3 linked regions of the Lepisosteus oculatus genome follow. The protein of the gene in region 3 interacts with the protein of the main gene of each other region in a biochemical or structural test. Links are inferred from orthologs where the notes say so. Each region holds a gene or a part of one and is shown on either strand. Other genes may lie near its edges.

Evidence for each region.
Region 1: the proteins of crhr1 (region 3) and magi2a form a complex in vitro, tested with the Homo sapiens proteins (2 studies listed by BioGRID and IntAct, with this or other methods). The link is inferred for Lepisosteus oculatus from reciprocal best matches to the Homo sapiens genes CRHR1 and MAGI2.
Region 2: the proteins of crhr1 (region 3) and magi3a form a complex in vitro, tested with the Homo sapiens proteins (2 studies listed by BioGRID and IntAct, with this or other methods). The link is inferred for Lepisosteus oculatus from reciprocal best matches to the Homo sapiens genes CRHR1 and MAGI3.

Annotation. Positions count from the first base shown.
Region 1 is NC_090702.1:34,684,236-34,691,747, reverse strand, and holds the start of magi2a (membrane-associated guanylate kinase, WW and PDZ domain-containing protein 2a), read left to right. Parts: upstream 1-4,463; 5' UTR 4,464-4,629; coding exon 4,630-4,927; intron 4,928-7,512. UniProt on the Homo sapiens protein: Seems to act as a scaffold molecule at synaptic junctions by assembling neurotransmitter receptors and cell adhesion proteins. Plays a role in nerve growth factor (NGF)-induced recruitment of RAPGEF2 to late endosomes and neurite outgrowth.
Region 2 is NC_090700.1:34,829,220-34,837,209, forward strand, and holds the start of magi3a (membrane-associated guanylate kinase, WW and PDZ domain-containing protein 3a), read left to right. Parts: upstream 1-4,941; 5' UTR 4,942-5,085; exon of another isoform or gene 5,086-5,216; intron 5,217-5,700; 5' UTR 5,701-6,949; coding exon 6,950-7,256; intron 7,257-7,990.
Region 3 is NC_090723.1:8,137,636-8,145,187, reverse strand, and holds the start of crhr1 (corticotropin-releasing factor receptor 1), read left to right. Parts: upstream 1-4,528; 5' UTR 4,529-4,557; coding exon 4,558-4,617; intron 4,618-5,468; exon of another isoform or gene 5,469-7,552.

The DNA.
Region 1 (7,512 bases), on a different chromosome or scaffold from region 3:
TGTGCCCCCCAAAACACATGCATACTGTATACTGACACACATCCCAACATTGCTTCACATTTCCTGAAAACTAAAGTGCTAAAACCTGTATTTTACTTAAAACAACATAATGATAAAACATAAAAGTTCACATCCCTAAAACCATTCAGTCATCATCTTAGAAACTTGATTAATTGGATACCAAATTCAGCATGTCGGGGAGTAAAAATCTAATGTCCCTTCTGTTTTTTGGATTTCTCATTAATGGACTCTCAATGATGCCTTCCTTGACAGGAGAAGTGAAACCTCAGATAGATTATTACCAATTATCCTTTCATGCCACTTCTCTACTGCAGACAATACAATGTATGTTATTTAAAAGATTCCCACATCAAAGCACCTAACTTCTCGCCACTTCATCTGTAGAATATGGTTGACAGAATTACTCTACTGCAAACTCTTGCTATCAGTTCAGGTCAGTGGCTTCTCTCTCTATCCCTCATTCTTTGTCACTCTCTTCTCTCCTCTTTTGTGAATGAAAATATGAAATGCTGAATCCACAGCATAGATTCCTTAACTTAATTACATTCCAGGCAAATAGAAAAACAGAGTTTTGACAGCCAACAGCATGCTTGTGGTCAGTGGACATACTTTATTAATTCTGTCACTTACTGTATAGTTTATCAGTGTAGCATGGAGCAGATGACAACAGCTCCCATGCTGACTTCGCACCAAATGTTCCTAGCTAATTACGAAGTATTATTCCACATGACCTATCTGCTAAGATAGACAGCTCCCACACAATGTCAGCAAGGACTTGTCAAATTCATTTTGCTATGAAAATAAAATTTCTATCCCACTTTAAAATGAGACACTCCTTCTACGGTTGTGTTTTGGTGAGTGTACCTCCCACCTCAAGAATTTCAAAAATGTGCAAAACTCACCACTTTGGGGAGGTCGAGATTATTTTAATGTTTTAAGTGATGTTCTTTTGCTTTTGTCTTATTTCCATTAAAGAGAACAGAAAATAGAAATTGCAATGTCTTGCAAATGCATCATCCACTTCAAATGAATCATTTTGCTGAATTTCAAATGAGGTACAGTATTCACATATTGTAAAGTCAATATTTTAATCAAAATTTGAATGCTCAAATAAAATGCTTCTGTGGCTGAAATAAGGTAAAAGTAAGCAAAGGAAGGAAGTGAATACTTTTGAAAGGCACAGTAGTTCAAATGGTAACCTTTCAAATTACTTGGTTGTAAGACATACTGTAGTGTAATAGGAAATATTCTAGCAATTTAATTTTCTATTCTGTGAATGCTTACAAAATGTTTTACATAATTTAACAAGGAAACAAAAATTAACCTTGATGAAACAACTATGTATTTGTGTTTTTTATACAGTGAATCATATTTTAAAAGTCTCCACTGTGAACAGTAAACATATAGTTGGCTGTTTAAATAAGATATACTGTATACACACAAGTCAGGCATCCTGTGTGGGTGTTTCAGCCAAAATTTCAACAAAATGTAACACCCATTAAATATTTTGCAAAATAAAGGGTGTAGTGTTAATGTGGTACTGTAACTAGTACTGTTACCTCACAATTCCAAGATCATCAGTTTGGTCTTACAGTTGTGTACCAGGTGTTGAAAGTGCTGTACTTGTAACAGTATGGTGACTGCATGGACCAAAACTTAATTAAACACATTTTATACACAGTATAAAGTATATATTTAGCAAGATTGAATATACTTTTCTTAAAAAGAATCACAGCTTCAAAGAAAACAAAATATTATACATCTACTCCAGCTGGTGAAAAATGTCTTTGTGAAAAAGAAATCAAAATTCAGCAGCATGTTATAATCTTATTTGTCTATCTTGCTAATACATGGTTTAAAAGCTTCTGTGCATATTAAGCTCTCATACACTCAATTGGCACAGGTCAGCTCGGCATAATGCTTTAATCCAATGTTTCTGGGATTAGCATACTGTATATTCAGGCTTCTATTTGGAGCCTTATTATTTTAATCTACATGGAATATCCTGATAATCTGCATAGTGATATCAGTTTATTATAGCCTGGCATCTAAAAGCCATATGGTCATCCAGTTATCCAAAATACTGAGAACAGGATAAAGAGATATTTAGTTTATTTCACATCCAAAAACTTTGGGGACATGTGAACAAACTTCCAAAATGTATAATCTCATAATTGCATTATATTAGATATCCTTTTGTTTCAATAAACATTAAATGGCCTTAGCACAAACCTCAAATTTATGAGGTATTTTATATCTGTGTAAAATGGTGCGCGTGATTATCATTGCCATTTTACAAAGCATTATTATTTTATACACATTGAAAAATGTTGTTATTTTATAGACATTTAAAAATGATTTTGATAAAACTGCAAATAGAAGGTCTTGATATCTTGTTGATAAAACCAAAGAACAAAGAAAGGGTTGATTGCAATGGCACTCAAGTGTAACACAAAAGGAGAAACATATGTCTGGGTTCATACAAAATTGTGAAGATATACTTCTCAGTAACATACTGTAAATTAACTTGGTTGGGATTATTCTTGAGCTACAGTACAGTGCCAGGCACAAGTGGCTGGGTGACAATCTGCCTCATACCATACTTGTGATTGTAAAAAAAGCCTGGGCGATTTAAATTTGGATTCCATTTGAGGCAAGTGTACTCCAACAAATCTACTAAAATGTTGCACAGTCTCTCTTTACGGTGACCAGAACCAACTGTCAAAGGCTGTTACAGTAAGTCTTCAGTACGGTGTGCTTCCTTCACAATGGCACTGTGCCTAATTACTGTATGTGCAATGCTATTCACCCAAAGTACTTTACAAGGCAATTTACTGAAAGACAGTATTCCAATGCATCATGGAAACAAACTACAAAAGAGAAACACTTTAAAAGAAAACACTATTCACACTCTAGTGAACCTTCAGAAAGAGAGTAATAAATATGTTTGTGTATTCTAAATCCTAGAATCATATGCTTTGTGAATGTATGAGTATTTTAGGTAGGATAGCTTTGGTTTAACCTGTTTTGTTAAGGGTAGCCCCCTGGACATAGGATGAGGAGGCTTGAGCCCCAATCTAACAGAGGAAATAACCAAGCGGTAGCTGCAAGGTGGGGATGAGGTGGATGAAGACTAACGTATATGAGCCAAATGTGAAAAGAAGTGTTTGCATTATATACTGTATACTGTACACTATATACTGTACAGCATATACAGTAGCAATATTCAGTAATGATTATGATTAGGAACAGCTGGGTGAGATTGACTTTGTGTGTTTATCCCTCCTGAACTTCAATTAATAACTTCCTTTTAAGGTTGGAGTGTGTTAGGTAAGAAAATATGCATTTTTTTAAGTAATGTAAAACAACGACTAAAACAACCTTTCAATAGTTTTTGAGAATCAGGAATGAAAGTCCTTTCTTTACTTTCAGAGATAATACAGTAGCTCTTTTCATTACACTCACTACAACTACTGTACATGAAGGTACAGTACACCTAGGAAGAATTTGGAAAGACTGGTTCCAGCATGACACCGTTGTCGACAGTTTTCATCACAGTGCTTTAGAATTGGATTAGATACCACAAGCTGTTTCCAGTCCCTTACATCCACTATCCCTGTGAATGAAGTTGTAAAATTTGGCAAGCTACCTGCAGGTAGTTAGCCAAATTTTACAACTTCATTCACTTAGAAGCCAAGCGAGGACTATGTGTGCATGGAAAGCTTCAATGTGTCCTGTTGGTTTTACTTACTGGGCGTAAGGTAACCTTCTTTGTTAAAAGTAGCATGTTAACAAACGAAAACTATACAGTAGGTCTTTATTTAAATGGAGTCTGTTAAGCTCATACTTTACGTGTTTTTTTAGAAACGTAATCGTAATCAATTAGAAATGGCAACATGTCTGAGACATCATATGTACGAATTGCAAATACATGAAGGTACATCTAGAAAGACGCAGGGAACACTGATACCGCCATGGCACATCTGGGAACCCAGTTTTAAACATATATTATGCCCTCAATTCGCGTTAACACAGCGTTTGCTATTTCCCTGCATTCAAGTTTATTTTTAGATATTTAAAACGGGAGAGATGCAAATTTCCTAGAAGAATTTCTAACGAATTAAAATATTATGGCATGCTGTGTATTTGTAAAGGACCTGAACGCCCCATTGTTAAATGTGTCAGAAATCTGCTTCGTTAATTTCGTTTTATATATGTCTGTTACAGGCATCACTAGCACATCTCGCCGATTCCCCTTTGAATAGTTTGCTTTCTCAGTTAACAAGCTTAATCCCTCAGTATTAAAATTAAACGCACCGCCTCTTTATCTTTCCTCCTGGCTATTCTGCGGAGGGATTCAGAGCCCTGCCTCTCTCCTCCAGACATCACATCCGGGTCAGTTGCCTGCAACTCTGTGTAAACCAGCTTCACAGTTACAGTGTAACGCAGCCCCAGACAGCTGCTATAGAGGCTGGCTGACATGGATATTACCAGTAGCATCCAGTATTAATAAAATAACCTAGTATCCACTGGGGCATCAAAATCCAATATCACAGACAGTACTGGGAACTTATTGCATGAATAACTCATGCAGTATTTATTTCAGCCATGTCCAAAAGCCTGAAAAAGAAAAGCCACTGGACCAACAAAGTCCACGAAATTGTCATTTGCAGGAATAAAGAAGGCGAGCTTGGGTTTGAATTGAAAGGAGGCGCTGAGAATGGGCAGTTCTCCTATGTCGGAGAAATAAAGCAAGGCAAGGTTGTCTGTCAGAGTGGAAAACTGTCCCAGGATGAGCTACTGTTGGAGGTCAATGATACTCCAGTGGCTGGACTCACCATCAGGGATGTGTTAGCCGTTGTCAAACACTGCAAAGATCCCATCAGGCTGAAATGTGTCAAACAAGGTGAGTAGTACTATACTGTAATGTAGCCATCGACGTACCGCTGCTTTGATTAAGGCAAACCTATACTGTATACTATACAGTTCATGTGTGTAGTTCGTGCTATCGAGTGTTACTCCTGTTTATGCACTGTACAAAACGACGACAGTTTTAAATCTAAAACTTGGATGTCATCGAAAATTATGTTCTCTCGCGTTCTTGTTGTTTTTCCAGGAAAGGTCAAAGTCAGCAAAGTTTAAAATGCAAAAGAGAGTGGGCCGTTATGCGTAGCCTTAGATACCAGTTACAAACTTAAAAGCACAACAAAGCGGTTTGGTCGTAAGAGGTGTCCTTTGGATGGGAGCAGATTAATTAAAGTTACCGTAAATAATTTCCTTGAGAGTTTTTCACCTTTTATTTTAATATTGTTGCTGTTTACACGTTTTAGAATCCGGTCTTAAGTTGTAATGTGAAGTCAAGCATCAGTAGCTGAAAGGCACGGAAAAGATGAGTTGTTTTCGGCTTCAATAGCTGCTATCAGAAGCTAAAAGGAAATCCCATCCTCGACCTCCTGTATACAGTTTTACAGTCTTAGTATTATGCCTCATGTAAATCATTCTTTGCAGTCCGTGTTGTGCTTTCGGGCGATATTGTATGATTGATGTCTTTCGCTGGAAGTGAAGGAAGGTGGCGAACAAGCGTTCCCAGTTTCAGGCACACTTTTGCAGTATGTGGGCGTGGCGTTGCAGCTTTACAATCAAAGTTTATATAGAGATATACAAATAAAACAAATATTTTCCAACGTGATCCAACAGTGATAGCTTAAAATACAACCGTAGCTTTAACAATGACACAAATGCTTTATTTTAACAAGAAGAGAAATGTTAATATTTTATTTTTCTGTTTTGATTGTCTTTGGATTTGAGCAGTTGCCTTGTTCCCTTCAAGGCTTAACTTCTTGTTGAGAGCATCAATGGGATACAATATCTGTTAGAAAATTAAGTTAGAACAGTTGCTTTATTTAAGAGGAAGGACATTTTGATTTGTTACATGTTTCATTTCAGCTGCTATCTGCTCTAGATTTTCTGCGTTTTGTTAAAAATAAGCAAATATACAGTATACAGGTACAATCAGCAGAGTCATTGAGTCAGACTTGAAGGTAGCAGGAAAACAATGTCTTACAGCATTTGTTTTGCTTTAAACAGTTTTATATATACACAAATGAATAGGCTTCACTACTAATATTGATCAAATTATACTTTATATTGAAAGACCCACACTGATTCAACCTTAATATTTACTGTTGGTGTGTATCTCCTGTTGCATTTGCACCCTTAATCTGATGTCTGAATGTCTCACTGCTGCAGATAAGAACTGGAACCAGTGTTGGCTCAGAGCTGCTTCATGCAATAATGAACCGAACATGAGGCGTGATCTTGACTTGTTTTAGTCATGCTTGTTTTAGTCGTGGTACAGGAAAAAAGGCATTATGAAACTTAAGTACTGTATGTGTTGTTGTGTCCGATACATCACAATATGTTTGACTGGTTGTGTAGACTGCATTTTGAGAATTTTGATGATAAGAGAGTCTTGAAGCTAGAGAATTATGATGTATTGAGCTTTACATCATGAGTTAATAGTTTTGCTAATTAGTTCATTTTTACAGATACATCTTCAAAACTGGAAAAAAAACCAATATTTTTTGCGAGTATCTTTGGGATATTTTCTTTGATACACCATTCTTGCTTAACAAAATACTATTATGGGGTAAATAATGTAATTTGTGATCGACTGTGTCTGTGATGAACTCCCATTCATTTCACCATTAACAGCAAAGAGTTTATTTTTAATTCCATTTAATTCATTTTAAATAATGATAATATTAATTTTAAATAGTGCCTTTCATTATATGTTTTCTGAAGTCGCTTTTTGATTAATCAACACCAGAGACAGCTATAGTGTAGATGAGTCAATACAGTAAACTAAACAATTAAAAGCTGGAATAAAAAAGTTTTAAGAAAGGATTTCAAGTGCTGATGATATGAGCTAAGAGATCATTCCATAGCCTTGGTGCAACATTAAAGAAAGCATGGTCTCCCATGGTTTTGGGCCTTGAAAGAATCCAGTGTGCTCAAAATGTATACTGTAAGTGTTAACAGTTAATTGATTAGCTTCACAGGAGTTCTACTACGGTGCTAAAGCCCTTAAAGATGAACTGCATTATTTTGAGTTCCATTCTGAGTAATTTATTTTAATTAATTTTAGTTAAGTTCTGTGCCACTATGTTCTGATCATACTGCAACTTAGGAACATAATTGCAGGTACCAGCAAGCACTTCATAACTATTCAAGCCTGGAAAACATAAAACCATGGTTTGCTTTCTGTATCAGATTGGGAGAGATGTGAAAGGATTTCTACCAATGCTGCTAAGATCGAAAAAGACATCTTCACAGTATTTCAAACATGAGCTTCAAGTGCAAGCTTGTATAAAAGGTTCCTGACCTGTGTCCGTGATGCTATACTAAGACTATCAATAGCCAAAGTGTGCGGAGTTGATAAGGAGCAGATAATGTGGTCCTTTCAAAGTTCAGATGTAAAAAGTATTATTG
Region 2 (7,990 bases), on a different chromosome or scaffold from region 3:
AAGGGAGATCAATGGGTTTTAAGGCAGAGGTGTAAAATCCTGCAGAGCAATGAGCATCATGTAACCCGTTGTCACTGCTGACAGATGTGTCATTGCTACCTTTCAGTAGAGCTGGGCCATGATAGAACTAGAACATCTTGATGCAGAAGTGCTGTCCTGAACCGAAAAAAAAACAGCACCTGCCTTATTTTAACATGCTGGATTAAAATAATTGAAATAAAGCAGCAGGTCTTAAAGAACCCACATCCTTGCAGAATTCAGTTTCTTAAAATGCTGGTTGGGAAAAACAAAATCATGCCAAGGAGAAACAATGGATTTAGACAGTCTGTCCCTCAGTGGGAAAGTCCAGCAGGTTTGGCAGGTCTCTTGAAAGAAAGAGGTGGGCCTATCAGTCTACATCAGATGTAACCAACAATCAATATATGACTTGAGCTGTGAATGGACAAGTGATTTGAAATGTGTTGCAGAAGAGAAAGAGAAAAATAGAACTAATTGGAACAAACTTAAGCATGTGTATTCATGCTTAGGGGGTTGTTTTAGACCTGCTGGACATCAAAGGGATGAGGAAAACAAAGTCCAAAACCTTTGCACATATCTCATACATATAATTAAAAAAATATTTGTATTATCTGTGCAAGAACCTTGAATGCAAATTGCCTGCTTTTTATGTTATCAGATTAACAAAAAATACTGTGTAGTAGAAATGTACCTAATTTTTCTGTTTCTTTTTTGGATCTTTGTCAGGCCTGATCAACAGTTAAGAACTGCTCCAAAAATTGGCTTTCGTAATTGCAATACTTGTAATCTGGATAAATAGAACACAGCAGTGACATTTTCTGAAACAGACCGAAAATGATCCAGATTACAGTGAACAGAAACATAAAGTCTATGACTGGTTTACTTTTATCAAGATTATAAGGTGTGCTAAACGCACCCCTGTTCGTCATTCTACCTGAGCTCCCGATGATTTAATCCCACCAGTTATTGGTCTTAATTACAATTGTTTTTACGTGCTTATTGTGAAGTGTGATTTCCCTGTAAGACCTGCTGGGCCATGGTTTTTCACCTCTTCAAATTACCACTTTCGAAAGACTTAGAACAACAATGTTGTGACCAGTTAAAGTGATTTGATACCTTAAGTACCTTGGAAATGAATGCATTTGAATTAACACCCGAACACACTTCAGTCTTCAAGCACTACTTAATTGAATATGTAATGTACTTAATTGATCAGTAATTACATGTGTTTGAAGTCTGTAGAGCACTGCTTTGGTGGGCTGAGGCTCTTCTGATTGTCTTTCGACTTGTGCCCTTAATCTCCTGACTTGTTAAGTGGACCAATTTATTGCTCTACTCCCAAACTAGCTAGATGGGCTGAACAGCCTCCTTTCTCTTGAAACCTTTCTTGTGTGTTTGTGTTATGCAGGACGGGTTATATAAGAGATGACAATGGCTTGACTGGTGCTCTCTAGTACTGTAAGTAAGGAACGTGGTCTAGATCTCTGAAGGTGGGATCCATGCAGGATTGGGTAGGTAGTTTTCAGTTAGTAATTGATAGAGACCTAATAAAACAAGCGATTGGACTTTGTATGCAAATAATGTCTTCAATGAAGCAATTAAGATCTGTGGTGGAATGAAAACCAGAATGCTCTTAGGTTCTTCAGGACTGCAGCTGCCTATTCAGTCCTTGAGGGGGTGTAGGGGGTGTAGCTGCTTTTCGATTAGCAGCTGACAACTTCAATTCAATAATGAGATCAGTGGCCTTTGAGAACTGGTCTAGATGAGAGAGAGAAAGTATACCAGGCTTGGCCAGTTGTGTTCCCTGTGACGCCAAAAGCCTTCACTCTTCTTTTCATTCCAGCTTGATCTCGGTGACTTAATTGGATATTTAACTGAACTACTCATTTGTGTAATGACATGTTTTTCATTGTTCTCAAGTTGTTGTGGTTAGAGATTTCAAAGCACCCTTCATATTTTAATCTAGCCTGGAATCTACACCTTCTTAGTAGCAGGAATGTATAATTAAGCTAACGATCATAGCAATGAAGAATTTTGTTAAATTACTGAGAGATCGGCGGCAGTAAAAAGTAATAGACAGCCCCCAACCAAGACTGGGAAGGTCTGGTGGTATCCCAAATGTCCAAGACATTGTCATTTTTCTAGAACTGAGATTCCTTTAACACAAGCCAAGCATATTCAGTGGAATATGTGCTCCGAGTGACTTCTTTTTACATTTGGGTGAAAACATTGCAGCCACAGTCCTGTCACATTTGTAAGTCCAGCAAATCCCACTGAACCACAAATTGAAGAAAAGTCCTCTCCAACTTGACAAGAAGACATTAAGGCTGAGACGAATTAAAATATCAATTAACCTTTTCAGATTAGGTCCAGTGTTAGCTGGCAGGGATACAAACCTCGTGATCACCAGCTATTGAACCAGGACTGAGTGCAGAGGTAGAAAAAGCTGACTGAATAAATGCATTCAATTTTAGCAATGTCATTGATTCCATTTAACAGTCCTAAATGGGGATCAGGTTTGATCTGAATGAGCTTCAGAAAAGAAATCAGCTTCACCTTCAGCCGCCTGGCACACATTAAAGCTTGATGCTGTAACTTTAGTGTCTTTTTAATTTATAGGACCGTGCGGTTTGACTTTTTTTTTTCTTAACTTTTTTTTTGTCAAGACAGGCTTTGATTCTGGTTGGTTCTGCCATGCAAATTTCCAGTCAAATGCTAAGCTGCAGGTAATTCAAATTGCTCATGTAGTATAGCTTTGACTGACGAATCTGAGAGGTTCGAAGCACAGCCATTGGAAATGTGCATGCCCTGTAATAAAGCGGTGATATTCTTTTTATAATAATAATTACTTACACTTATATAGCGCTTTTCTGGACACTCCACTCAAAGCGCTTTACAGGTAATGAGGACTCCCCTCCACCACCACCAATGTGCAGCATCCACCTGGATGATGCAACGGCAGCCATTCTGGGCGCCAGAATGCTCACCACACATCAGCTATTAGTGGGGAGGAGAGCAGAGTAATGTAGCCAATTCATAGATGGGGATTATTAGGAGGCCGTGATTGGTAAGGGCCAATAGGGAAATTTGGCCAGGATGCCGGGGTTACACCCCTACTCTTTTCAAGAAACGCCCTGGGATTTTTAATGACCACAGAGAGTCAGGACCTCGGTTTTTACATCTCATCCAAAGGTCGGCGCCTTTTTACAGTATAGTGTCCCCATCACTATACTGGGGCATTAGGACCCACATAGGCTGCAGGATGAGCACCCCCTGCTGGCCCCACTAACACCTCTTCCAGCAGCAACCTTAGTTTTTCCCAGGAGGTCTCCCATCCAGGTACTGACCAGGCTCACACCTGCTTAGTTTCAGTGGGTTGCCAGTTGTGATTTGCAGGGTGATATGGCTGCTGGCTTTTTGTATAGTTATTTTGCTGTTTTACATTTTTTTTACTCCAGCATCCAATCCTTATTACAAGGGGGGCTATGAGCCTGACGGGATACCTGATATGGACAAAGCCACCCATTTTTGCATTTTCTTCTTCCAGGTAGGGGTCGTGGGGGAGCCAGAGCCTATCCGGGCAAGCAACAGGCACAAGGCGGGAGGAACTGACAAAGCCAATGAAGGGAATATCATCCAAAACTGGTGCATTTTGATCATGTTTTCTAGCCCGCTACATATTATTTTCTACAAATGAACGGTACAATGTGTGGAAAAAGGAAAGTCCTCGACTCCGTCACAAGCCTTTTGACTTCCCTCTGCCTTTAGCTGTCTGTATGTAGATCAAATTAATCAGTTTTAGACTTTTGTCACTTGGCCCTTGAGCTGGATTTCGTCCTAGCTCTTTGACAGTGTGCGACTGTGATGCCTAATGGGGCAGAACACCATGCGGCAGAGGGCTTAATGGACAATGGCATTGGGACATGCTAACACGCTCCACCACTCTGATCCCCGCTGCCAGAGCTCAGGTGGACAGTGGAGGAGCTGTTGGCTTCCTGTGTCCTCTGTCTCGGGTTCAGGGTTCAGGTCAGAGGCCTTATGTTTTTTTAAAGATATGGGGAATCTGGTGCTACAGACATGCCTGAATGAGTAGACAGCGGGACAACGGTGTATGAATGGATATATACAGTAGGTAATCAGAAGGTAAGAAAGACTTAGAATGATATTAGAATGAAAGACTTAGAATACATTACATTATATGATATATAAAAAAATGAATTGACCCAAGATTTACACCAAATTAAATTCAAAATAAGTAACACAACAGGTTGAAGACTACAATTGCTGCAGTGGACCAGGGCCATCCAGTCTTGGCATTAGCGTTATATAAACTGGCAGTGCTCCTCTCCATATGTGTAATGTCCAGAAAAGAGCGTCACCACATGATAGAGGCTAGTGTACCCAGCTGTGTAGGACTGCTGTATTGCGGCTGCTGTTAATCCAAAGAGCTAAAATCGTAATCAAGTTAAGTATTTGTATATTTTAATTTTTGCAGTAATGCTGTGCATTGTTTGAAAGATGGATATTATGATGATGTCGACCTTGAGTAATGTAATGACAAATGTCCTTCGTACTTCGTGAAGTGTTAGAGGTTATGAACATCAGGCTGCCATTGCTGTTCCTCACCACAAGATGGCAGGCTCGAGACACTACGATACCTTCGCATTAGCAGATAACACATTTACATTATTTCCATTTCCCCGCCTGTAAACTGTACTGATTATAAAAAATATATTTCGAAAACAGGAATTTGAGGCATTTGCATTGCTGTTATGAATTATGATGAGTTTTCTTTGTCGAAAACTGGGGTTATACGTGCTTTTGAAATACGCAGTGCTAGCAATAGCGTAAGCGTCCAGTTAGGTCTGTACTGATGAGGTCTACGCAAATTCTCTTGTTGAAATAATGGGACGCTTCGGGGCGCAAAGTACAGGACTTCCTTAGGTATCCTGATGCGGGACTAAGGCAACAGTGTTAGTATTGCTGTCTAACTGTGTAGTAACTGAATAACAAGGACTCCGCTGAGAGTCGGTGGAATTGCGGACAACAGCGCATTTATTAAACGTGGTAGGTGTCTGGAAGACGATCTTCCTCCTGCGGTTTAATACAAAAAAGCACTGAAAAGCCTCCGGTTCTTGGCTCGCCATTCACCTGTGGTGCAGAACGTCGTATTTCTTCTGCTGTCCTGTCTTCTCAAGGTGCGATCTTTTAACGTTTTGCTAACTTAAACCTATACTGTGTAGTCGAGTAGAATTTTTTAAAAGTGTTGCGTGGGGTGAGAGAGAACACAGTAACCTAGTCGCTGCGAAGTGTCCTTTTAATTTTAGGGGAAAGGTAAGGACTGACAGGTAACGCGGATTTTACAAATATTAGTACCGGAGTAGTATTAACAAGTGAGACAATTTCTGGAACATTAGCAAATTATCGCGGTGACCAGTGACCAAATATTTGCTCAAATTCCCCTGCCGGTGAATCTCATTTTGACGTTGTACCAGACTGATCTCCTCTTAAAAAGAGTCTGGATAGAAATGTGTGCAGGGTGATAGAGGGAACACGATACGGTCCTTGTACTCGGTGAGCAGCACCGTGTTCGCCTGTGATGAGCATGATAATAATAGCATGAGGATCGAAGTGCACGGTCGGCACTCAAAGGGTTAGCCGTGCTATCTCTCTGTGTTACAGGGTAACAACTCGGAAGACCCGCCCAGCTGTTTTTAGCATTGGCTGGCCCCCAGTGTTTTTACTCCCCATCCTTCTCCGCGATTGGTTCGAAACAACAGCAGTCAACCGCGCCTTGCCCACCCCAGCACTACTAACAAGGTGAAAATGACTAAAAAAGTTCTGGAATCATTTCCCACTCCGGGCTCGTGGGAGGGAGGCTGCCGGCGCTGTGACTGAGCTAGCGAACCCGGAGCCGCTTGCTGGAAGAGGCAGATGCGCGGCGGTGCGGTCGCCACGGTGGAAAGTGCTCAGCAGGATTGTGGGACAGATTGAGAACAATCCTCCGGAAAAAAACACACACACGGGCATTCCGAGTATTACACACAACAGCACTGCCTGCGCCGGCCGTGCCCATTTCACAGGAATGCGGCTGCTGCCAAGTTAAAAACGAACAGGTGCGTTGGACGCGAGTGACGGAAGGTTTGTTGTAGACGCGGGGCAATAATAACGTGAAGCTCAGTTTGAAGTTGGAAGTGTTTTCTTCCTATGCCCCTGCTACACCTCCAGCTGATATAGTTTGCAGGTGCTTTTGGAATTCCGGCGAAACTGTTAAAGAAATTGCGTGGACTTGGCGTAGTGACAGCAGTCCGATTCATTAATCAGATCGTTTGATCAGGTTGAGGCCAGTGACTACCTTGTAAACAGCGACAAGAAACTGAGCCGATCGATTGTTAATTCCTTCTTTGGATAGGACATTTGCTCATTGGAGTACAGAAATCAGCTATTTGCATTTATTCATTGTTTTTTTTTATGTCTAAGAATATATACACAACGCCGTGAGAAGCATCGCTGGAGATCAATATAGACAGGATCGGACATGCACGACTGATTGAAAATAATGATCTTCTGGCAGCATAATATTATTTTAATTTGTTTCATTGCAATTTGAAATTTTAAATGGGAAGGCTGGATTATTTACGTGCTGCTTCAGCGAGCCACAAGCTTGAATGATAGCATTTTATTTACAATGAGTGACGGTCGGAGCACAGATGATTATCCGTAGCTAAAATTATATAAATAAAATAAATATTAAAATCTTCACTATTGGAGGAATGGAATTAAGAGACAACAGGAGGCTTACTTCGTTTCGCAATCAACATAATGCAATTCTAATCTTTTGTTTAAACGTGTCGTAGGAAACTAGAAAATCAAGTAAACAAACAAAACGCGACTTTGCTTTTTGAAAGCTTTTAACGGGGAGTAAAACAACATGTCCAAAACATTGAGGAAGAAGAAACACTGGTCCAGCAAAGTTCAGGAGTGCGCGGTGTCCTGGGGCAGCGCCGGTGAGTTCAGCTCGGTGGTGGAGGTCCTGGGGGGAGCGGAGCTCGGCGAGTTCCCCCACCTGGGCCAGGTGAAGCTGGAGGCGGTTGTCTGTCACTCCGGGAAGCTGCCGAGCCCCGGGGACGTGCTGCTGGAGGTGAACGGAACCCCGGTGAGCGGACTCACGAACAGGGACACGCTTGCAGTTATCCGCCACTTTCGGGAGCCGATTCGTCTGAAGACCGTCAAGCCAGGTGAGTTTTTATCACTAAGTGAACTGTTCGCATTTTTATACGCTTCTTCAATAAATCAAATATACTTGTCCTCTTGTCAGTGCGAGTGATTAATCGTTTCCCTATCATAACCCAGTTTTATTCCCTTTATGGTTATGCTCATTATTAGTTTTTATTTGGATTCTTTAAACTAACAACACGGTCTAGTTGTATTAATTATAGTCTGCATTTGGAAACTTGTGCTAATTTCATGCTCTGTGGTTAAGATATTGCATGGATCTCGCTCTGAGTGTTTTGCCTTTTCTGTCTCAAGTTGATCCTGTACCGAGTTGTTGCCATGAGGGCCTGTTGACCGAACGGCTATGCAACAGAGTGGAACATGTAATAATACGGACTTTGCTACAGCCAAGTCAGGGGTCAGTGGCCGTTCTTCTCCGGTGTCGCAAGGCCAGCCTGCGCTGGACGCAGTCCTGTTTAATTGGACTGAGATTCAAGACAGGGTTTTAGTTAATATTGTGAACACCCCTCAGACTCGCACTGCGTCTTCGTGCGGTTATCGAAAAGCCCTAGCTCTCTCTAAAAACCCCCTCACGTACAGTATTATTAAAAACCGGCTACTAGTACTAGCGCAAAAGGATACATTCGACAACTGTATGCTGGTATATATTGTAGTATTTACCCCGCTTACTGATGATACCTTTAAGATTTGTGGCACGTAACCCGTTTTAAATATACTTTCAGTTCAGTGCTAAATG
Region 3 (7,552 bases):
TAGTATAATGCATAGTATAGTATCTTGTGAATTACCCAGGCTTTTGCATCAGTTAGATGAAATCTTTTAGTTAAGCACACATAAAAATCAGTTGTTCGTCTTTAGTACATATTCTGGCCAATCATGTGAAAGGCATATATAAACTCGTGCTGGAATGGCTGCAATGGTGAAATGCATTCATGCCTTTGTAAAGTTGATGCGAGCAGGAGACATTAAGGTGTTTTTAGGTTGGGGCTTCAAAACCCGGGTGAGACACCGCTGATCTGCCCCCAAAACTTACTCTCGTAAAATCACAACTGTATAAAGGAGTGCGAATCGTAGCTGCTTTACACTAATGAAGTGTGTAATTTGTACGAACAGATGGTGATCAATGCTGGATGAAAAAGCAACACGTGTGAAGTTGTGTACTACCAGCAGGCTAGACTGTCAAGTGGACTACTCTGTGCACTTTTTTCAACTGCCTGCTTGCTTTTCCCGTTATCCTCTTTCGGTAATTTAACTGCCTGCACCTACGAGCCCAGGGACTCGGTATTCTGCCTGCGTTGTCCTGAGGGCCGCAGTTCCACTGGAAAGGAAGATTTCTGGGCTGCCTGCCGGTGGGCGTTGCCTAAGGGCTCATTAAAAAATACATTACAAATAATAAGACGGGAAGTGAAGACCTCAAAAGCTCTTTTATAGGCTATGGATGTGGCGTGTGATTTGCGATTATGCTGGATGTTTGAAGAGTTTACACTGAAAGACCTGTTACCGTTGCTTTTCCTTACAGGCAGTGTGCTGGAAGTCGATTCCGTTGGTCCAAACCTGCCAGCTTCTTCCTGAAAGCTTTTGCACAACGAAGATACTGATGTTTTACTTGCATGACAGCGTGGATCATTTTAAAGTTTGAGAAGCAATGCAGCCTCATCAGATCGTTGCAGATACTGCTCTGCAAATTAATAGATGTGTGGGAAGAGATACCCTTAGAGCAGAATAAATACAAATTTCAATTTGAACAGGGTTTCTTCACCAGTCTGCTGAGCTGTTGAGCTCTCATGCACTGCATTTCAAAATACACACATGTGACCCAAAATTAATGCCGCCGTTGTGGCATATGCGAAAGAAATCCACATTCTGGTGAATCATCCAATAGACTCTCACTACATGATTGATTGATTGATTGATTGCTGAAGTATGACATCGATTACAAAAATTGTATGCACTTTTCTTTAAACAATTGGAAAATGCAAGGTGTTGTTTCAAACTATATGGTTTACAATAACTTCTTCCCCCTGGCAGAGCAAATCGTTAAATAGGAAAAAAAAACTTAGAACACTTCACGGCTCTCATCTCTCAGCTTAGCCAAGGCAATCACACTAGAGCGAGCCAGAAGAGTCTTTCATTTCAAAGACCTGGTCAAAGGCAACTTGAAGAAATGCATCAATATCCACCCCTGGGAGATTATGGCTCTTGTCCTAACCCAATGAAGCAAGAATATCTGGATAGGAAACCAGCACTTTGCGACTCAATGATGTCAGAGCGAGAACCCAGGAGGAAGCAGAGCCCTGAAGCGAGCTGCCATGAGTGTATTGCACAATACATGACCACGACTTCTGAGATGACACCTCCTCAAGCTGCCAGACAGTCTGCAGATCTGGCACCGGCCTCATCAATCACCTTCAGCTTCGTGGAAGACTGTCATCCTTGAACGTGAGGGATAATAAATGAATCAGTGACTTTTGTCTGGCAATATTTAGCAGAACTGTCATGACAGCTGGAAATGTGGGGTTACAGGAGTGTCAAATTTAGGCCTACTGGTACTGTGCATCGTGACGACACCTTTCCATTGCCGGTAACTGCCGATACGCTGACATCTCATCAGTCTCCTTTAGTAGACCTCTACGGCCAAGCTCAGGCTTCTGTCCAGGCCTTTCAGTACACTGCAGTCCAACAGCCTGCCTGACTCTTGGCAGGGTGGATGGCTAATTTATGTGAAGAATCTCTCCCGAAATGAACTATCCTTTTAACCCCATTTATGTCTGTAAGCTTGGATCTCTACGAAACGTATCCATTACCAACCTTGTAATTGTCTGCATTATCAAGATGCTGCATCTTATACCATTTTTTCTAAACAGTTTGGAATGTTGGGTTTCAGCTCATCTCCTTCAGAGATTCATTCAAATGATAAATGGTGGGATATATTGAAGGATCTGCTTTATTCCTTGGCATTATCCACTGAGACCGCCTGAAATAATCAAATATTAATAGGCTTATTAGGCTACATCTGGGTTACTACATCTGCAGACACTCTGCTCTCCAGGGGGTAATACACTGGGCTTTTCTAACCCCCATTACCTTGTAAAATGGTTGCTGGACTGGAACACAAATCAAAGTTTTTTTTCCCCTATCTGCTTTTTCATTTCACAGGTTAAAAGACAACAAACCACAATAAAACTTCTTGTCTGGTCTTGTGGATGGGTGACCCCTAGATTCATGGACAGAGACTATGTAGTATCGCACTTCACAACAATACGGGTCTGTAGCAGCCAGTATGCCAAATCTTTTCTCTCTCTCTCTGGACATCACAATAGAGGGCCAAGAGCATTGCACCTGAGCTCCCTTAAGCTCTTTTTTATTCAATCTTTGATCTGCTCTGCATAGAAATGGCAGTGCTGATGTGTCCTTTCCATAACTTTTCCCCCAACCCTCTTCCGCCCCAACTCCTAAAATCCGTGACTGAAATGAAACACGAGACATGAGACATGAGAGTGATGTGCAGGTCCTTACCTGCTAGGACCAAACCAGGATTTGTTTCTTATGCTGGAACCATCGGAATGTTGGTAAAAGTGGTGAGAGATCAAAAGACATCAAACCAGTAACAATGGTTTACCACAGAGCACCCTAAACCACATCCTTCTGATCCCAGCTTCTGCTGGCCTGTTTTCCAGCAGAGTCCTCAGACGCCCCTCGGTAAGCTGAAGTTTTCACATTACTTATTCATCATTGCACCCAACTTGGAATCTACAGTTTTACAGCCGAAAACGAATTTGCAAGAAAAAAGGTCTGTTTTTGGAAGAAACTCATTTCTGGATGTCCTTATTCAGCTCTTTGTCCCTGTCGTTGGTCACTTTTAACAGTTGGTTCACACCTTAAAGATGTGGTTAGACAGCAGGAGGCTTTAAACACTGGAACAACTGAATGAGGCTGAGCTCAATGAATCCGTGCAAAATATGTTTGCAGGACTGAGCACAGAACCCAGTTTAAATAGTTATTTTCAAGCAATTCTATTTCATATAAGGGGGTTAATAATGACGAGCTCAACTGGACCAGAAACAAGAGTCGTGTTTGTTTCAGCACCAGGGCTGAGATATTAAGGATACTTCCTTCCATTAATATAATGCTTTTCATCCTGAAGGAACCCAACTGCTGAGCTTCTAAAGCAAAGCAATCCCTGTCCTGGGGGGGCTGTAAGGTTTTAGGGTTATTCAAAGCAGCAGCAGCACCAGAGTGGTCCACTTTAGCCAATGATGAGCTGACTGGGTTCATTAAGAGCCGAGTTGCAATTAAAAACCTGCAGACACACGGGCCCTCCAGGACCACCACGATCACCCTCAGCCATGAGGAGTAAGAGTTGTGCTACATTATTCATTATTTAATTGATCTGCAAGAAGCTTAAGTACTGTACATAACTATAAAACCAGCCCGGCTGTATGCAAGGCCTGGAAGCTATTCTTTGACTTCCTTCATATACAGAGCCCTGCGTTACTGGGAAACTGAAGCAAACTCTTGTCATTACTTTATAGCATTGCAGTTCCTGAAGAGTCCCATGCCTTCGGACTGATGCAGTTGGAATACTTAGCTGATCAGTTACTAAAATGATGTCCCTAACTAGACCTACAGATCTAAGATAAGATCATGTTTATTTTCACAGCTGATCAGGGCTATAAAATTAAGAACTCAGAGGGCTGGTGTACATGCACAGTTTTGTTCCAGCTTTGCACTTAAGCGCCTAAGCAAACTCTGTATTGGCTTAATTGGACCAATTCAGTAGTTTCTCCAGCTCTTCAGGGTGCTAGTGCTGGATGTGCTAAGCAGGCAGGTACCCTGGGGTTGTAGCATTAGATATAGACACCAAAGGACACAATGACTGGAGGCCAGTCACAGTGCAAACAAAGCAGGGTTTCCATATCAGGATGTTTGCCCAGTATGGTTTAAGGAGAAGGCGCATCCCATGACGTTGTCATCTAATGGAAAAAAAACTGTCATCTAATATAGCCTGGAACTGTTTTAAACAAACGCCAGGACCCGAGCTTGCCTGGTACTCAGATTTATTATTTTTTTAAAAGGGGAAGAAAACACATACTGTAGAACAACAGAAGATTTCTGATAATTTTTTCTTTTACCCTTGAAACACTCGTGGTTTATTTAGAGCAAATAATGCAGCACATTTCCTAAATTCGCCACCACCGTAGTCTAATTAGGTATCGTGCTAACGCAGCACAAAGTGCAGAGGTGTTCACACCTGGGAACAGCCTTGTGCGATTTCTATCATTATTGCTCTTCAGCGCAGAGTAGCCGATAATGAGACGCTTTAAGAGTAAACAACTATCAAAGCATTTGTTTGAGCAAAAGGCACTGCAGGTAGGCATCAGCGATTTCCTTCATTTTCTAAAGTAGCACGATAGCAACATAATTTATATCAGCATGCCTCACGGGAACCGCAAGAGAATACTAAATGGCTTTTCGGGGTGAAACAGTTTGGCAGAACTCTATATCATCTGGGTAGTATATAGCTTGCTTTCCAATCCACACCATCTTACACACACGAAGCAATTTGCAGGTAGTCGGCTCCATACAAGAACTTAAAAGATATAGAGGCGTCCGCCTTCTTACAGACATCAGGTTATTCCAGAATTTCAACCACTGTCTCCTCCGGGGAAAACAAACTCTTTCGTTTTGCAATTTTCTCTCGGCCCGTTTGGTTTAATGTGCTCCTATGATCATTCCGAAGAGACTCCGATTGTACTTTTCTCCGTTTAGCGTGAAATTTGATGTTTCGTGTAAACGGAAAGCGAAGAGAACAGTACAGCATAGTTCGGCTTTGATAACCCACCCCAGGAAAATAGGCTAACCCCAAAACCGGTGTTGGTAAACGTAATTTAAAAAAAAACAACTATTACAAATCTATTATATTGGTATTAGTTATCTAATTATTTAAATAAATGACTATAATTGAGCTCAAACGCAACCGGTGGGTTAATCGGTAAATTTACAAATATTATTGTATTCGAAGTAAGCAATTAATGTAATGAATTGTAATCAGTTAATGATAACGTGCACTTCAGAAATGTTTTCAAGACCACGCAAAAAATGTCCATTCAACCAATATTCCGTCAGGTGGAAGACGTACAGCGTGTCTCCTGAAACACAAGACGATTTGAAAAATGATGTTGATGATGAGCAGAGAACTTTCTGAAAGAGATGGGATCGAAAATCCATAACCCTCGAATTGAAGGGGGATAATTAATGGAATGTCATAGGAGCTGCTTTCTGACTGAATGCCTTTTTTGCTGTACGACAGCTTCAGATGAGATACGAGCCGGCGGAGAACATGCCACAAGCGTCCGCACGTTCTTTTAACCGATTCGCTCTCCTAAAGCCTCTGAACGGTCTTTTTTTTTTTTAAAGTCGCTATTTAGATTCCGTTTTCAAGCTGAAGTACATGAAGAACAAGTCATAGGTTTAATTCCATGCTGAAAAGAGACGTTTCGGCTGTGGAGCCTTCTTCGGGTCTGAGGAAGACAGGGCAGGCAGCAAAGATGAAATAACACAGGAAAACAAAAGTTGGGAGAGGGGAGGAGGTGAAGAGAGGGGTAAAGTCGAAATCTGCATGTGAATAGAGAAGATTGCACGAAAACAAGTCTGACGTTGAGAGAAGGTGTGAACCAGGTTTCAGGATAATTTTTGTTTCTGATGTCTTTCTGCGGCGGGAGTTGAGAAACCCTTCATTGAGAACTCAGATGGAGAGATCAATGTGATCAGGGCCGTCAGAGGTGAAATGAGAAACTATGGGCTTGGAGAAATCTTTACTCTTCACAGCCCTGACATCGGTCTCATAGGCTCATAGGTGGCGTTCCCCGACACCAAGAAGACCTACTGCTCCGACGCCTTCGACGCTCCTAGTATATGAAGAATGCTTGTATACACTATATTGTACATTTACATTATAAATAAAATCGGCCAGCATCGGCCAAACGGAGTTTGGAAATAAAAGGAAAGACATCGACACCGCGTTTCTTTGTGCTGTGACAATTTCCCGGAGCCTAATTTCATAGTTTGTGGCGAAGGTAGGAAAATTACATCCCGCTGCGTGTTGCCGTAAATTCCGACACGACTCCCTCAACATGATGCAGTTCTGCGCAGCGAGGAATCGTGAAACGAACATGTTGAATGTTGGTTAATCGCTTACGGACTTCAAATTCTGGTACATCTCGTTAAACCGACAAGGGCCGGAGGGTTATTGATAGGTGAGAAACGAAACACCGGTTTGAAATCAGCGTCTGATTTATATTTGCAAATAGTCAATGTGTTTATTCTTATCCGTTTATTCAGATAAAAGTAAAACAACACGGTAACAGCAATTCCTGAGCTCCTGTCAGGTTTGCCGGCACCGAAATAGGTAGGAGATCCCCATGGTAACATATACTGTAGCTTGCCCCAGAATAAAGATAGGAGTGGTCTTATACGCGCTGCACAGCTCGACTGCTCTCAGTGCGCAGTAAGCTCCCGTATTGGCAGGAGGACGGGATAAAACTAGTTAAGAAACCAGACCTCTACTACAGACACAGAAACATGGACCGGGAGTGATATCTGCAACCGACTGAAACGCCGGGTGACACCAGCAATCGGGAACTGGTTAATACTGTACCCAAAGCGAACTGTACTGTAAACATCAAAACCCTTGTAGATCGCGACAGGGACATCCTTCAGAGTTTAAAAGACAGACATTAAGATGAAGAACATAAATTGGTTTAAGGGCGCAGTTCGACAGTGATAGTGGTGCAGGGGGTCTGGAGAAGCGCTCTCACTCTGCGGGAGCCCTGAAGTCGTACGGCGGGGCAAATGACCGCAGGCTGCGGCAGGAGTCGCCCCGGTCACCGGATTCCCAGCCAGGACGCCGGGCGCCCCCGCTGATACCCTCAGCCCCGAGGCAGCAGCGCAAGCGTGGCCCCCCTGGAGGACTCGCCGGGCGATGCTGTCTCCGGACGTGCCGGAGTTAGGAGCTATTCTGTGAAGGATCCCCGGCAGCTCGGAGCATCCGGACTGTTCCGAGCGTCAGCGACAAACTGCACAGGAGTTGGGCGGCAGAGCAGATAACGTCCCAGCAGGCACGGAAATCTTGCCGGCTGAACTGCCGAGTGCAGACACTTGCTCTGCTAAGAATTTGGCGACTGTGGCATTGCTTTAGTCTGAAAGAAGCGGAGGCTCGGATGGACAGGTCGCAGCCTTCAGTGAATCTATAAACAAGGGACAGGCAGCATAACGTTTCAGCGCGCTTTTTGGAAGGCTTGGACGA